Kluyveromyces lactis: one gene and its partners. The protein of the gene in region 1 interacts with the protein of each later gene in a pairwise test. Links are inferred from orthologs where the notes say so. Each region holds a gene or a part of one and is shown in the gene's direction. Other genes may lie near its edges.

Region 1 (3,784 bases):
TTGTATTAGCTTATTGGCAGAAGAAAATTTGGTAGTAGATTTCTTACTCTCGAATAATTTACCGTTCTTGGCGAAAAAATGCCGTAGTTTATCGATAGCTACACGAGAACTGGAGGTTTTACTGTTGAAAAGCTTCGATTTTAGGTTATCTACCGGTGGTTTCGAGTTATCCTCTTGCATCATGGTCTTTATCCGATCTGGTGCTCTGGCAGGTAACAAAGATTGAAAGAAGCTACCACCATTGTCCTTCTTCGGAGTGACAGCAGCAGCAGCAGCAGCAGGAATACTAACTGTGACACTGCTGCGGCTATTCTTACCTATCTTCAGTGATTCACAGTGATGATCTTCCTTCAATCTATGGTTGGCACAAAAATCACCGTTGCAAGCAGAACAATGGAACGGTAGGAAATCAGTCTGTCGACAAAACGAACAGTGTGTGCCGACATCTAGCATACCAACTTCTTTAGTCATTGTTTATCAACTGTATTATTTCTTCTTTTAGCCCTTGATCAGTCTTGGTCCCGGACCTGGAGTTCTATAAAACACAAATAACACAAATCGATATCAAAGTGAGAAACTCATCCCAAGTGGCAAACAACCTGTGTATATTATCGGCCTTGCCAGGTGCTCTTTATATATATAAGCGATATGACAAATACGTCCCGCCATCCATATCATAGCCAGTGATGATCTCTGCCTTACTCATCTTCATTTTACACAAGTCTATGAGAGAATACTGTGGAAGATGCCAGCAAAATCACGTGACAAATGTATTTATAATATTCGGGTAACGAGTGTTCCTGTCTCAATGTGTCAATTACAGCTACTCTTAATAGTAACACAAACGGAGCTATTCCAATGGTCTTCTCTCCTATACAGTACATTCAGCCGAGGCTACAGGTTTATTCTTTACATAAATGTTGTTCTCCAGTGATCATGCTGGGTGTCTCCAGAAGTTTTTCCACTCGAGTTTCTAATCACCATGTAGAAACTGACATCTCTTCGAAAGGCTTGTCAGTCCCAATTGTAAAGAGTGTATATTCAGTTTCTACGAGAAGGGAAAACCACTTGGAAAATCCATCAGTTGGAATGGATAGCTGAGGTATTAATATTTTGCAATTTTTTGCATGTTCAAACTACCCACATAACGAGCATGGTATTTAAGGGAGCACAGTTCCAGCTGAAACAACTCGTAATAATAAGGATCTTAGTAATTCCTAGTTCCCCTTTCTTATATTTCAAATACTCCCTATATAATACCGACCAACTTCTGTCTGACAGCCGACAACAAAGTGGTCTACCGATTGCATATCACATCATTTTAACCACAGCGTATCCTTCACAAACCAGCGTAGAAACCAGTTTTCACCATTTTTTTCGTTTCTTTGAGCAGGTTAACATTATTGAAAAATCATATAACGTTTGATTTGAAAGAACTTTACGAAAGGAAAAGGACAGGGAAAATTCTAAGAACAGGTGTTGGTATATTCTGAAATAGAACGTCTAAGAAATCACTAAGTTTCCAACCAATTTAGGAAAGCTGAGCGACCATATTTGCATAGCGTGCTGGGAAAAGAAAAAGGTTAGCTGACGATATGGGTTTATGTGCCTCAAAGGATTCTCGGGAGTCGACTCACGATGGGGGTCCCAGAGTGAATCGTCCCGGTGCAAACGATGCTAACAGGCGGAATGATGTTAGGAAAGGAGCTGGTGACAAGAAGCAGGACAAGAAGAATAAAAAGGCTAAAGGTTCTATCGTAAATGCTGCTTCGAATATTAATAATAGCAGTAGTGGTAAGACCAAAATCAGTACTGTATCGGAAGACGGTACTGTAAGTAACGGCGTAGGTAATACTGCTGAATACGATAATGCAAACAATAAAAATAACGGTAATAATAATAATAGTAATAATAATGATAATAATAACAATAATAATAACAACATTGGTAATAATATAAATGGTAATAATAATAATGACAGCGAAAACATTCACGACAGTAATAATAGTAATATCGAAAACAAGAGATATTTCAACAATATCAATACCGGAGTTTTAAATGGGGTTAATGGTAATAGTACTAATAGTGACAAGGCTTTGTCTAACCAATTTGATCAGTCGAATAATTCAGAGACCCACTCTGGAACTATGACAGGGATCAGCCAGGCGTTGGCTTTGAACGATTCTGGAGTAAATGGTTTCGATACTGATCTGGCAAAACGGAATGGCACAGTGAATGCTTCAGGGGGTCAATCTCCTGGTGGATCTGAGACAGTAAATGCATTAAAAGTATTATTATTGGGTTCAGGTGAAAGTGGGAAATCTACCGTTTTGCAGCAGTTGAAAATATTACATCAAAACGGTTTCAGCAGAGAGGAGCTACTGGAATACAAACCTTTCATCTTTGATAATATCATTGAAACTGGTAAAGATTTGGCCAAGGCTAGAAGAACTTTCAACGTTCAGTTGGAGGAAGATGCTGAAATATCAGAATCAGATCTAGATGAGCTTTTGTCACAACAATATCAACCTACAAAACTTCCTTGTTTACCAGCAGATCTAGCAAAGACACTTAAAATACTATGGAACCTCCAATCAACTCAAGACTTACTCGTGAGTGAACATAGATCTTCTTTCTATTTGATGGATAGCGCAAGTTACTTTTACGAGAACTTGGACAGAATCAGTGAACCAAAATATATACCCACCATCACTGATGTTATCAGAACAAGGAAAAAGACTTCAGGTATTTTCGACACTATGATAGATTTGGATAAGAACTTGAAACTACACTTCTTCGATGTCGGTGGACAGCGGTCAGAACGTAAGAAATGGATTCATTGCTTTGATAACGTGACATTGATCATCTTTTGTGTCTCTTTATCCGAATACGATCAAACACTTCTGGAAGACAATTCACAAAATAGATTGGAGGAATCTTTGATTCTTTTTGACTCAGTGGTAAACAGTAGATGGTTTGCAAGAAGTTCGGTGGTTCTATTTTTGAATAAGATCGATATTTTCGCTGAAAAGCTTCGTCACGTTCCTTTGGAAAAGTACTTCCCTGATTATACTGGGGGCAAAGACATCAATAAAGCTGCCAAATATATTCTTTGGAGATTTGTTCAGTTGAATAGGGCCAATCTCAACATATATCCTCACGTCACTCAAGCGACTGATACTTCAAATATCAAACTAGTGTTTGCTGCAATCAAGGAAACTATCTTAGAAAACAGCTTAAAAGACTCTGGTGTTTTGTAGGGAATGTGATAGCGGCACATGAATACTAAGGATAACAAATTTTATACTAATGACTTTCAACTTTCAACTTCCAACTTATCGAACAGTTTTATGAGGATAATGAAATGTAAGATAATGTGATCTATTTCAGTACTAATAATATCAACATCATGTAACGTGTTATCACCGAAGCCTGTCCTTGTTCATGAAGTTTAGTCGATAACAAGAATGATTTTTCCTAGTTTGCAATAATGTAAAGTTTTTATTAAATTTCAGGCAAATTTAAAATCGTTTTGGACTGGATCCAACATATGTTTTTAGTCCCTATTGAGATATCTCTCTTATCTTGTATATTGATTTACGGTATAACGCAAAGGTTCAACTCTTTCCGTTATGTAAGTTAAATATAAAAACTATTCAGTTAGATCCGATAGTAACCGTTTAGTGGACTATGAGAATTAAATGAAGGTCAAGTATTGGGCCCTTGCTTTTTTTTTTACTCAGACTTAAAGTATGCAATGTATATATATCTATATTTTCGATAT
Region 2 (4,603 bases), on another chromosome or scaffold:
AGTTGACGGTGAAGTTCAAATTGGTGTCATTGGGTGCCCTAATTTGAAACTATCAAACTACGGAGCCTCTGATTTGAGCGACTCACTATCTGCAGGTTATATTTTCAGAGCTGTGAGAGGACAAGGTGCTCAATATTCCATTACCACTGAATCACAATGGAGGGAAATTCATACCAGAGATGTTGAAAATACTTCTGACCTGGTTTCCCTAGAAGGTGTCGAAAAGGGACATTCGTCTCACGACGAACAAGCTATCATCAAGAAAGATTTAGGTATTACTAAGTCCCAACATCTGGATTCTCAGGTGAAGTACTGTTTACTTGCCCTTGGATTAGGCGATCTTTACCTCCGTTTACCAATTAAAATGTCCTATGCCGAGAAAATCTGGGACCATGCTGCAGGAAATGTTATTCTTGAAGAAGCTGGCGGAATTCACACTGACGCACTTGAGGATCAACGCTTAGACTTTGGAAAGGGTAGAACTTTGCAAACCAAGGGTGTCATCGCTTCCTGTGGCCCTCAGAGCTTACACTCGAGAGTAGTATCTACATCAGCACGCATCATTTCTGCTAGAAAAACTTGAACGCATATTATTATCAAACACATACATCAGGTTATATCATAGTATATTTTTTCAAGCTACTTAATGAAATGTAGACGTACCTTAAACCGATACCCAAATAATCAGGCATACCACCAGTGCAACAAGCTGTTGCCAGGTAGAGCTTGTTCCTACAACCGATGAGTTTCCAGCCTGCTAGCGCATGACGTTAGCTATATAAAAAAACCCCTACAATAGCACTACTTAACCATAGATAGAAAATGTACATACGTACTTAAGTTGAAATTCCACATAGTCAGTGTAACATATTACCCGATAGTTCCAAATTACTTCAAAATCCTGATCACAAACTGGCATCCAGGCCACCTTTCCCAAGGAAGCTCCTTGGCGTTTTCCCACATGCCGGTGTGCATTTTCCCATAAACCTACATATAATTGACTGTGCCTGAAATTTTCATCACTGCTATTCTGGTTGAATAATATCGATAAGAAAAAAAAAAGAAAATGGTTAATAATTTCAAATCATGACAATTCAAAGGACTGGACATGCAACGAGAAACAGCAGGCAACTACCATAATTGCAGGAACTGGAGCATTATATATATGTTCGAGATTTGTGCAGTTAGACAAGTGTTTGACGTTTATTGACATTTGGAGAACCTTTATTCTAGAGAAGGAGATAGAAATTTTCCATAGACGTTGCCTTGAGAGCGTAATTATAGCATCAAAAGTTTTTGAAATTGAACGACAGAGTAGAAGTTCATCAAGGTAGATCAATACTTGAGGTTCAAGAACTTGTGTATTGAGTACAGGTTAACAATCGCTGGCCATTGTTAATCTGCTTGATTAGTTTCAAACTTCAGTCCTATTTTTTTATCCTTTTTCCGCTGCGAAGAGTGCGCTGGCTGCACTTCTAGTTGCTAGACATATTAAAGTATTGGTTCTATTAGACGTTTGCTCTCGCGATGATTGAGGATCTTTTAGACCCAACTAGCACGACGGTGGTTACTTACACACATTATGCCAGGATCGCTGCGTTCAAGGACCTGAATACAACGACCGTGAATCAGGTATTGGGATTACCAGGGCTTTTTTCAACATTCAACGCTCCGCAACTTCGGAAGCTCAGGATATCCGCAATTTCTGCTTCTGTGGCATCTATCTTCGCATGTATAATAGGATTATACCTACTAACATCGATAGATAGGCGACGGAAAGTGTTCAGACATCATTTAATTTTTTACCTTTTAGTTTGTGACTTTTTGAAAGCTATTGTATTATTGATTTATCCAGTGGTAATATTAAGACACAATGAAATATATGGAACCCCAGCATTCTACAATACTGTAGGATGGCTCACTGCTTATGCTATCGAGGGAGCAGATATTGCCATTTTTGTCTTTGCGCTGCATTTCGCCATTCTTATCTTTAAGCCCAACTGGAAATGGAGAAATAATAACACGGGGAATTTGGAAGGGGGCTTCTTCAAGTGGAGAAAATTCATATACCCATTCACTGCTTTGACACCGACCGTGTTAGCTAGTCTAGCCTTCATTAATTTCAGCAGTTATAACGAAGATGTCATCGAAGCTGACACCAACGTTGTGTTAGACAATAACAATTACAATTTTGAATTCCAAGCAAAGATGGGGGGTTATAAACCTTTAAGCGCATGGTGTTACTTACCACCAGTTCCAATATGGTATAAACTAGTCTTGAGCTGGGTGCCTCGATATTTTATCTTCTTGACGATTTGCACAATATACATCAGCATCTACGTCTTTGTTAACAGAGAAAGTCGAAAGATCAAATCAGAAATCAAAGGATTCCAACACTCGGAAGACAATCATGTTAATTTTTTCAACAGGAAGCCATCACTTAACATTGCTTTGAATGTAATAAATGGTTCTGCTATTGGAATAAAATATTGTTTCAAGAGATTCGTTTCGTTTTTACGTAACTTTTTCTTTCTCGAATTGTTTGATGATACTGAAAGCCAAAAACACAATTTATCAGCAGCGGGCGGTCGACAGCGTGCTGGCACGCCAGGCCTACCTTCAGTGAATGATTTGGATATAGGGCTATCTAACAGATATGAGTATAGCCCAGATGAGGTTGACATTGAAGACGGATACAATAATAATAGTAATAACGGTTTACATTTGTTTGAATATTCTAATCTTCCGATTGCCAGTCATGACGGAAGTGAAGATTTAAACAAAAATCGTAAACCAGACAGCCTTACACCAGCGAAACCTCAAGTTGCTCAGTTTCGGCAACCCGCTAACTCCTATGCTTCTGCAAGATGTCCTCCGAGCATCCCATTACAAACTTCTTCCTCTCCGAATGATGTGCCCAATGTGTCGAAACATAGTACAAATACCGTTGATAACCAAGCGATGGGAACAGAAGTGGATATTGAAAAAATGGAACATCTTCCAGGGAAAGATGTCACAGGCATAAAGCATAAGTTCCAATCTGAAATGTATGCGCATTTTAAAAATCGGAGGGATCAGATTAGGAGGCAACTTAAATCGATATTTGTGTATCCTATGGCCTATTTATTACTTTGGCTCTTCCCATTCATTGTAGACTGTTCTCAGTACAGCTACGAAATCTACAATGGCCCTATTGTATGGTTGGCTTACATTGCTACGTTCATGCAACCGTTGAATGGTGTTGTTGACGTGGCGGTTTTCCTGTACAGGGAGCAGCCTTGGAGATATTCTTGGGGTTTAATTCATTTCAAAGAACTAATCAGTAAATACAGGCTCAAGGGAGAAATCGGTGAGGCAGACATCTTAAGTATGTGCGAAAGTGAACTTGGAAGACGTGGATGGTACTATAGAGGAAGATGGGTAAAAGAAGAATGCTGGAAATATAAACCTCAGTTATGGAAACGTACATACTGGTATGTCCACAGAACAGTAATCGGATTATGGAGGCTTGATTTGAATTTCGAGGACAACTGCTTAGATAGAGATTATTGGGATTCGTATTATGGAAATCATGCTAGTAATACAATGTCAATGTCTACAACCAACAAGCTCAAGCTGTTTCCTGTACTGCATCAAAGTTTATCTTCATCGACAGGAAGTAGTGAAAACGGCATAGATCCATATAAGAGGAAATTCAAAGTGCCTTTAATGTGGAGAATCTTTCATAAACTTCCTCTACAAGAAGGTATTGACCTTGATGAATTAGATCGTTATCTCAAGATGAAAAACAGATATGACGACTTTATTATTCCAGGGTTGCAATTCGCGATTGACCAGAATACGAGCAACAACAATAATTCTCTATTTAAACCCAATTACCTTCTTTCGAGCAGTTCCAAGGAAAAGGAACCAACAAGTGACATTTCTCCTAGTAAACATTCCTCCATCACCGAAACACCATTACAAGGATCACTCAATTTTGGCAATGTGGCAAATATGAACTTTGCTGATGTTACTAAGAATGCTAATTTGCCAGGCGTTTGTGCGAACTCTAACCAGTCTCAATCGTCCACTAAAGAGGAACAGTTAGATTTATTATCCTTCTTGAAAGGTCCACCACCAACATAGTTCGTAATGCACATTGAACATAAGTACCATATATATTCAGTTTAATTTCAGTTGATTGATATATCGTTTATCATAAAATGCACCAACCGAATTAGGTAGGCTAGTCCTTGTTAAGATTTATATCATTGGCTATCAACTTTTCTAGCATTTTCCGTAAAAATATGATAATTAACACAGCAATCTTCAAATTTAAAGGTTCAAGATATACAAAGGGAGAGTCTTTTCACCTATTAACATTCTATCTCCCTAACGGGTACACTTCTTAAATAAAGACATTGAAGATGTCGAGAACACTTAAAGTATTTGCTAGTTCATTCAATTGTGCTAAGGTGTTCCCATTTGATGACATAGATACACAGAAGTCCATATTAGAGCAGTTGATCCCCCATGTTTCACACCATGATATCTATATATTAGGGTTTCAAGAATTGATGTCGATATGGCAGGGTTCATTTTCCAATATTTGCTTTCAATA
Region 3 (4,563 bases), on another chromosome or scaffold:
ATGATTCATTTACTGCCATAAGGGGGGCAGGGCGTTTCTACTGAAGCTATTAAAGGAAATTCGGTATTATCTATATCGGTAAGTTTAGCCGCCATATTTTCTTGAAAAATTTTCCTTTCAGTTGTTGTAGCCAAACTGTGGGGAAGGGAGAACTATGGTCAGAAGCGATCGCAATGTTTACCACTCACATCATGACGTGCAATAGGTGCGCCATATTGGGTCATATATAAATTACTAGTATACTTAAATTTTTGTCGGTACTTCTTAGCAGAATCTCTAGTGGGCCCCAATCTTTTCGGCGCTTACACTGCAGAATTCGGCAAATGCTGCATTTTCGGTAAATGTGCCTGTACTTAACCCCTTTATATCCAAATTATTCGATTGATCTATTAATACATAGGTTAGTATGTACATATCTTCCGCTCCCATCCTGTCCCGTTTAATTCCCGTAGCCAATCTTGCCGAACCTTTCTTCCCCTTAATCTAACTCTCTAGAAGTTGTTCGTGCCCGGTAATATTTGGAGGGGTACAATCCGATCATTTTAAAGTATATGGAGAATCAATTAATAAATTAGATTTTTAATGGTTTGTATATTGAGTTTCCCTTATCGTAGACTCACCCCTCCCCTATACCGCTATACATGGATTTATCGCCTTGTACAGGAACACTTATCAGCTTGTAGATCTGGATTTTTTTTTTTATTGCTGAAAAGAAGAATACATCCTTTGCACCAGAATTAGGCGCCGACATGTTGGAATTCTTTTGTGGAATATATAAAGGATGCGTTATTCAAAGGATCTCCTTTAATTTTGAATCTTTTTGTGTTCTCATCTTCTAATTACCGTATTGCTGTCAGTTATGTGTATCTTTTTAAGTTATGTATCAATTGTGAACGAAGGAAACCACATGCATATTTGCAGCAGAAGGAACAAATTTCACACTTACTTTTACTAGGATCGATAGTGGCTAACTGAAGCTCCTGTTGTTCTGTTTTGAAGTTTTACATTGAAAAAGTGTTTTAGTATATAACAACTAGACACAGCATCGCCTTTTCACTTTTTGAGATCAAAGGTATTATCGTTGTTTGAGTTTCATTTTGAAACTGCATATTAAGAGAGTGTTAATATATCAGGATTATTGTTTTTCTGTTTTTCTATTTTTCTCGATTCTATCCTATACAGCATTATCTAAGGTGTCAGATTTCAGAGATTTCAGACATTCGATAAATTTTTTTTTTCTAAAAAAGTTAGAATAAAGAGAGCGGTACAAAAAGGCAAAAACGGCACTCAGAAGACACAAAACGAAACACTCCAATAGGTGTCAGTTTTAGGAATCCTGTAATAAAAGCCGACACAAAAAAAGCATAAGATTAGTTATAAAATCAACCAAAAAAAAAGTGCTTCTAATTTATTACCGCGTAATTGAATCTTAAAACACAAGATTAATCGTTACATTTTAAAATAAAATTCACTAGAATATTTGTCAATCAACTACTTCAATAAAGCAAAGAAGAACAAAATGCCAGCTTTAACTTTGACCACAGCAGATTCCTTCATACCCCCAGATGTTAATAACCCTCCATTCTATATTCCGCTCAAGAATATCGATGCTAGATATAACGTAATTCAGGAATTGGGGAAAGGATCCTTCGGATCTGTGACATTGGCCGAGACAATGTACGATATGAACAGTTCAGCCACCCAAATTTCCTCAATGTACCCAGAAACTTTGATGGATCAAACTCTTATCAGAAACGTCGAACAAGAAAACTGGTACTATAAGAAAAAGGGTATAGTGGCAATCAAAACAATGATGAATAGATTACCAACATTGCATGACTATACAAGAGTCAGAGAGATCAAATTCATATTGCAAATTCCTGCACACAAAAATTTGGTTACCATATACGAGATGTTCATTGATGATTCTTTGTATCACCTTCACATTGTAATGGAATGCATGGAGCAGAACATTTATCAATTGATGAAACATAGGAAAAGAAGAGTGTTTTCCCTACCTACTTTGAGGTCGATATTATTCCAAATATTAGCAGGAATTAAACATATTCATGATCACGATTTTTTCCATAGAGATATCAAACCGGAGAATATCTTGATATCGCCATCTCATAGGTACTTCAGCAAGAAATGGTTGGAAGATGATAATTATTCGGATAATTACGTGGTGAAATTGGCTGATTACGGTTTGGCAAGACATGTGAATAACAGATCACCTTATACCACCTATGTGTCGACCCGTTGGTATAGGTCACCAGAAATTCTTCTTAGAAAAGGATACTATTCCAAACCGTTGGATATTTGGGCGTATGGTTGTGTTGTTGTCGAACTAGCCACCTTTTCACCACTATTTCCCGGTTCTGACGAAACCGATCAAATATGGAGGATTCTAGATTTATTGGGCTCCCCAGATCATTCTATCAATGGAAAGGAGCACTTTGGGGGTTCATGGCTGGATTCAAAACCATTATACCAAGCTTTGAACTATGAATTCCCATACGTAGAAGGGAAAACGATAAGGGATGTTCTACCAAACCCACAATTGGAAGATCTATATGATGTGGTTACATCTTGCCTAAAGTGGAATCCAAGTGAAAGGGCTACTGCAAACGAAATATGTGCATTGCCATACTTCAAGGAATACGTGATGAGAGAAGCATCTTTGGCAAAGACAAATAACGGAACCGCATCCAAAAATAAGGATAATACAGCTTTGGCAAATAAACTTGCAGCAAATCCATCAATATCAAACCAATGGAGTCGTATTCTTTCTGGACTACCACATAACCCGGAATTGGGCATTGTTCCTAGTTTTAACTCTCCACAGAAGTTACCAAAGGTTCAAAAGAACAATCAAATGAATTGTGTAACAGATAAAAGCCAACAGCAACCGCGAAGAGGAGGAGTTGCCTCATGGTTCAAATTTTCCACGCAGAAAAACCACGTTAACATCAATCCAAATACAAACAATGATGAGAAAATCCTTACTAGTGTTAACACGAATACAAATAGCCAGAAGAATCAAGGAATTGTAGAAAAAAAACAGCAGGAACAACAGGTAAATGCTCACAACGAGAGGCTAGATAGCTCTACAAACGCTAATGGTAACAGTATTCCTGATATAAATCTCATAGGACATGCCAACAATGATAATGAGGTATTCACTATTGAGCTGGATGATAGCATGGAGACTATGACAGGATCTGATCAAATTTCTAAGGAATTAAATGACAAAATAGAGCTTTATCAAGACACCACAAATCAGATGAACCCACCAACTCTGGATGTTGATGACGATGACGATGAACATGATTCGATTGACATGGACCATGAGAATTATAGGATTCAGGTGTTGGACGAATTTGATACTGATGAGAACTTGGAACATGAAATTAGAGCGACCGACAAAGATGAAAACAATGAAGTTGCCGTTGATAAGATGAAGATCTCCAATCAAGGAGAAGACGAAGATGATGCAGATAGTCTTCTAAACTATTATCAGGATATGATGGCTAAGAAATTACCACTTAACAAAAACAAAGGTAATTACATGCATTCGAATGGACCAGCGGGTCCTACACTATCAGATCAAATGGCAATAGACGATTCACTTGATCTACAAGAACAGATCCCAAGAAATCTGCTGGAGAGGGCAGTACAGCAAAGAGTTTTAGATTGTCTTTTAGATCCATCGGAACATGCATCTCAAAACCTGATTCAAACCTCTAACTCCCACAATCATACATTCCAAGATGGATTAAGTTTCTGATCGTAGAACAAAGAACAGCAGGCTGTTCCTCTCTTTCAGTTCTACTCGTTGAAATTTCTTTCAACAACGCTTTACCTGGTCCTCTTCCCATTCATTTATACCGTTTATAATATCCACACACACACACACACATATTCACCTTTTGTACCTGCTAGCTCATAAGTTTTAACATAACTTGCTTCTATTATTTCCTTTATAACTTGTTGGATACAGGACAGAAATGCCGACAACTCTTTCACTCTATAACATGGTACTTCTACTTGATTTACCTCTTATGTACACTATTATCCTTACTGTCTTTGTTTACTATCTCAAGTTTTTTTTTTTTTTCTTGGTAAACTGTTCCTATCAGCTCCGAGGTCCGATGATTCAAAATCTTTCGAGCCATCAACTTTACATTGTACTTCAAAGTCTTTATAAAGAAGAACTTCGGTTAAGAAAGAACATAGATAATATATTCAACTATACAGCTTTCCTCACATTAGACAGGCAGCGAACCGGAAATGTCCAATTATGATGTTGTCATTGTTGGCGCGGGTATATTTGGATTAAGTACTGCTGTGCAATTGGCTCGTTCCAAATATAAAGTTGTGGTGGTTGATAAGTTTCAAATTCCATCGCAGTTAAGTGCGTCCTGTGATTATAATAAAATTGTTAGACTAGAGTACAACGATGAAGTCTACGCTGCACTAGCAGTGGAAGCAATGGGATACTGGCACGGTGAAAGTGACAAATTTTTGCCTCGAGGAATGCTGCATGATTGTTACTCTCATTGT
Region 4 (4,757 bases), on another chromosome or scaffold:
AAAAAAATGAATAATCACGTGCTCTTCTTCTTTTTCTTTTGTTTCAATGATACTATTAAAAAGACACAATTATTAACAGAACCTAGCTTCTAAGACTATGCTTTTAATTGCATAAATGATTTTTGTATAGTTGTAGGTATACTAAAGTTGGAATTTGGAATTTCTGGTTATCGCAGTATTTACAGGAATGAGGATGGGGTAGTCGAAAACCTTCCAAACCTTCCAAACATTGATATATGTATAAATATTCTTCTCTTCGCAAAGTTTCGTCATAATGGGTCAGCTGCCATTGTCGCATTAGATTCAAACTTCAAAGCCATATCCCTTCATACAGGTCTTATACTTAGCGATCAACTCATCGCACTTACCGGATTCTTGGCCATTAAATAGAAGACATTCGTCTCTAGCTTCCTTTTCTGGCTTGCAAACACAGCATGGCTTTGGCTTAGTAGCCTCTGTCTCTGTCTTAACTGGAGCAGTGTTGGTCTCTTGTGGCATTGTTTCTATAGAGTTTTGCTGTTGGGATGTGTCTGGATATTGAACTGAAAGGTATCAGGTTAAATGGTGACAGATTAAAGGGCTGGTTTCAATAACTTACCTACAATTCTTTACAAACCATCGACATGTTAGTTGTATTACTAAATCCTGTGAGAAGCTTCTCAGTAGTTACCTTTTTGAACTTTTAACATTCAGTGTCTGATTTCATTACCCGGATAATGCTCATGTGACTTGTCCGATTGATTATCTAATCCGCCATATATGGTAAAAATGTTCGAACGAAGAGTCCATATGGAGAGCTGCTGGAAGTTGAATTACAGGCTCGATAGAGTTCTCCTAGAGATAAATAAGAAGTTGGTACATTGTATAGAATATCAAAACCACCAGATCAGCTTTCAATTTCAACTGATTGCTGAGTTTGCAATATCAGTCACGTGGTAATTTTATATCTCCTATCACCTCTCTTATACTCTTCATCCTTAACTTAGGGCAGTAAAATGAAAAGCGGACAGTAGGTTCAGTTTGAACATGAGGTCTCATTAAAGCTAGCAGCTGGATCCCTCACATTGCAGCATTACCGTTCCACGTATGATGATGTCAAAGCTTCCCTTTTTGTTAAGGGGAGACTTTGCACGTTGGAAACGAAAATTTCTCACTGAATTGATGGAGAGCTGAAAAAAATGTGAAATAACAAAATGTGCAAAATATAATGTTTGATACGGACATACTGATGCACTAGATTGGAAATTCAGGTGCATAGTAAAACCCTACTTCACTCTGGTATTGTCATAACCCAAGTGCTCATTGAAATATAGTGTTACAACGATTCAATTGTGTTATCGTGTTTACGCTGGTGTTGAAAAAACCAAGTACGTTGATCATTTTGCGTTCTTAGTTAATCACTGGTTTTTATCAGACTTTGATTTGACACTATTTGTAATTAAAGACAATAATATATCTTCAACAGCAATTTGTAATTTTAATTTCTGTTGACAAAAACACAATCGATTATAGTCTCACTTCATTTTGGCATAATCTTTGTCAGAAGTTGGATAATAATCATTTTCCTTATAATAATCTGTCCTGTTTGGATTCTTAAGTGCTGGTTTATGGGTACTTGTATTCATTTGTAAATTCAACCACTCAAGACAAACCACAGTGCGAGAGAAAGAAGAGGTCAACTATGAATCCACAACCGAAAGAAACTAATCGAAGCTCCATCTCCTCGGGAGCAAGAAACAGTGCTGGCAGTGCTTCTTCAAATAACAGTATCTCAAGTAAAAATAGCGGTAGGGAGTTACAACCACGAAGCGATACCGATAGCGAATGGCAAGACGTTGGTATGCCCACTTTTAAAGAGGACTATTCCATAGATGCAATTACGAAGAAGGTGAAACCTGGGAAAAAGGGTTTCCATTCTGCTATAGTTCGTGATGCTGGATCATTCGCGCACAATCCTCAACCACCTTTGGCAAAACCGGTGAAACCCACTTTTGAAAGGTCCCGGACTGCAAACCTGACCGCAACTTCATCAAGAGGTAACCTGCCGCTACTTTCGCGCACTTCCAGTACGCTGTCAGTATCAACAGCTACTTCACATGGACATAAAGGAACTACCAAACCGTCACGTGCAACTAATTTCTTCAAGAAACTTACCAGCAGGAAATCATCTCTGGCAAGCCAAGGAGGGCCTCCAGATTCAGATAATCAAATAAGCCAAGGTGGCAGAGTGTCGGCTTCAGATGGTGAACAGCAGTCACCCTTTCATCAACAGTCTCTGCAACAGCAAGTTCCCACTAACGCTTTGCGGAGAAAGATGAGCACATTCATACATGGTTCTTCAACCATGTCTGCGGCGTCTACTTTGACATCCGCAAATGCTCCTCATATGAAACACTCTGGGTCTAAGGGCAGCTCCCTGTTACATTCAGGTAACGAAGCCAGCAATGGTTCAAATTTAAGCGGTGGGAATGCGACAAGTGGCGTTTCGAACCAACAACATGGAGTAAGTTCTGCAGGCAGAAGTATTGACACAGACCTGTCAAGAAGAAATTCAGGGACCTCATTTGATGCTTCTAAATTATCAGCCGCTAAAGAAATATTTGGTGTTGACCTAGATTTAGACAAACTTTCTGATATGACGGATGTCGTCGTTACTTCTAATGCACCCTCCGCAGAAACTACGGACAAAGTTCCACCAAAATCACCTAATGCGTCACAAGATACCAAGGATGCTACACTTGCGCTACGGAAACAATGGACTGCTCCAGAATCCTGGGATGTTGATGAGACGGTCGGTCTTGATGTTAACAAAATTAAAGAAAGACATAAGATGTCAAAGGCCAATCGACATAGAGGGAAAAACCGCAAAAGGTACAGCAAATCACAAGGAAAACATACCAAGGGGTCTGTTCCAAAAAATGTCATTGCGAAAGATACTTCGGAGCCAGTAATTCCTCATGTACACCATCATGACTTTGAAGAAGACGCATTGTCACCGCGCACTTCTCCTCCTAACAGAGGATCGAATGACGAATCGGGACTGCATTTATCAGAAACGAAAAGCTCCGAATGCGATCTTTGTTTCACAATTTCTCCCAACGGCGACGAAGACTCAGACATTTCCATTGAAACCCAATCAGAAAGCCTAGACGATATAACTTCTGCTAAGACGCAATCTCGACCAGGTTCGCCTCTATCACAAAAAAATATCGAACAATATACAGAACTAGATGGAGAAACCGAATACGAAGAACATATGCTTGAGAAGTATTATAGTGATCTTTCGGATATTGACCAAACCAAAAAATATGCTATTAGAATCTTCAATGTCGATGATACTTTCACAACCCTTTCATGTCGTCCAAATACATCTGTGGCCGAACTTATACCACAAATAAAGAAAAAGTTTAATATTCAACAGGGGAATTTCCAGTTGTCGTTGAAGGTTGGTAAACTATCTAAGATTTTACGACCAACTGCAAATCCAATCCTCATCCAGATCAAGTTATTACTATTGAATGGTTACAAGAAGAGTGATCCGCTCCATATTTTGGGGCTCGAAGATGTCAGCTTTGTTTTTAGTTTCAAATTCCACCCGGTGACCACTTCCCAATTAACAATAGAACAACAACAGAGGCTCTCGAAGGGTGACTTCATTCATGTTGACTTGAGAAACATGGACTTAACTACACCTCCTATCATTTTTTATCAGCATACTTCTGAAATCGAGAGTTTGGATGTTTCTAATAACGCTAATATCTTTTTACCTATCGATTTCATTGAAAGTGCCGTTAAGCTATCCAGTTTGAGAATGGTTAATGTCAGGGCATCTAGGTTCCCAGCCAACATTACACAGGCTTATGATTTAGTTTCCTTGGACCTAGAGAGAAACTTTATCAAAAGGGTACCGGAATCCATCTCCAAGTTGTCCAATCTTACTATTTTGAACCTTCAATGTAACCAGTTAGACAGACTTCCATCTGGATTTAAGAATCTCAAGAACTTGCAGTTGTTGGATATCTCCTCCAATGCATTTACGGCGTACCCCGAAGTTATCAATAGGTGTACAAACTTATTACAGGTTGATCTTTCATACAATAAGATAAATTCACTTCCACTTTCCATCAACGAACTAAGTAAGTTGGCGAAGATGAACCTATCCAACAATAAAATTCAAGCTGTTCCCGATTTGTCAGGTATGGCAAACCTACGGACTCTCAATCTAAAAAACAATAGAATTGCCACTATCAAATCAAACGCCCCAAATTTGCAGAATTTATTCTTAACCTCAAACAGAATTTCCGTTTGGGAAGATTCACTACCTAAACTAAGAAGCTGCGATTTGACAGAAAATCCTGTTACTTCGTTCGACTATAGAGGTAATGTGTTATCTAACCTTACAAGTTTATCTCTAAACAAGGCAAAACTATCCAGTTTACCTATCGATTTTTTGAAAACTTTAGAAAAGCTTGAGAAGCTTGAATTAAATGACAATAACTTAACAAGTTTACCTGCGGAAATCAAGTACTCAAAAAAACTAATTCATTTTTCTGCCGCCAACAACAAGTTGGATAGTATTCCGGAAGAAATAGGAGAACTCTCCAATCTTAAATCACTTGATTTACATTGTAATAATATTAGAGAATTACCCATTTCAATTGTAAATTTAGAGCTAACAACATTAAATTTCTCCTCTAATTTACTTGGCTACAACCCCGGATTAGAGGACTATGAAAATACCCCTTTATCAAAATCAT

Evidence for each region.
Region 2: the proteins of GPA2 (region 1) and GPR1 interact in a two-hybrid assay, tested with the Saccharomyces cerevisiae proteins (4 studies listed by BioGRID). The link is inferred for Kluyveromyces lactis from reciprocal best matches to the Saccharomyces cerevisiae genes GPA2 and GPR1.
Region 3: the proteins of GPA2 (region 1) and IME2 interact in a two-hybrid assay, tested with the Saccharomyces cerevisiae proteins (2 studies listed by BioGRID). The link is inferred for Kluyveromyces lactis from reciprocal best matches to the Saccharomyces cerevisiae genes GPA2 and IME2.
Region 4: the proteins of GPA2 (region 1) and CYR1 interact in binary tests that used the Saccharomyces cerevisiae proteins (3 or more experiments, as listed by UniProt). The link is inferred for Kluyveromyces lactis from reciprocal best matches to the Saccharomyces cerevisiae genes GPA2 and CYR1.

Annotation. Positions count from the first base shown.
Region 1 is NC_006040.1:933,550-937,333, reverse strand, and holds GPA2 (guanine nucleotide-binding protein subunit alpha), read left to right. Parts: upstream 1-1,595; coding exon 1,596-3,260; downstream 3,261-3,784. Other genes in the region: CUZ1 (Cuz1p), read right to left, coding at 1-471. UniProt on the Saccharomyces cerevisiae protein: Alpha subunit of the heterotrimeric guanine nucleotide-binding protein (G protein) involved in glucose-induced cAMP signaling.
Region 2 is NC_006042.1:2,300,324-2,304,926, forward strand, and holds GPR1 (Gpr1p), read left to right. Parts: upstream 1-1,527; coding exon 1,528-4,128; downstream 4,129-4,603. Other genes in the region: MET22 (3'(2'),5'-bisphosphate nucleotidase), read left to right, coding at 1-583; phosphoinositide 5-phosphatase INP54, read left to right, coding at 4,410-4,603. UniProt on the Saccharomyces cerevisiae protein: Seems to associate with GPA2 and act as G protein-coupled receptor that senses glucose and controls filamentous growth.
Region 3 is NC_006042.1:262,810-267,372, forward strand, and holds IME2 (protein kinase IME2), read left to right. Parts: upstream 1-1,519; coding exon 1,520-3,787; downstream 3,788-4,563. Other genes in the region: KLLA0_F02860g (NAD(P)/FAD-dependent oxidoreductase), read left to right, coding at 4,291-4,563. UniProt on the Saccharomyces cerevisiae protein: Protein kinase which is essential for the initiation of meiosis and sporulation.
Region 4 is NC_006042.1:1,446,068-1,450,824, forward strand, and holds the start of CYR1 (adenylate cyclase), read left to right. Parts: upstream 1-1,681; coding exon 1,682-4,757. Other genes in the region: copper metallochaperone COX17, read right to left, coding at 304-465, 1,227-1,256.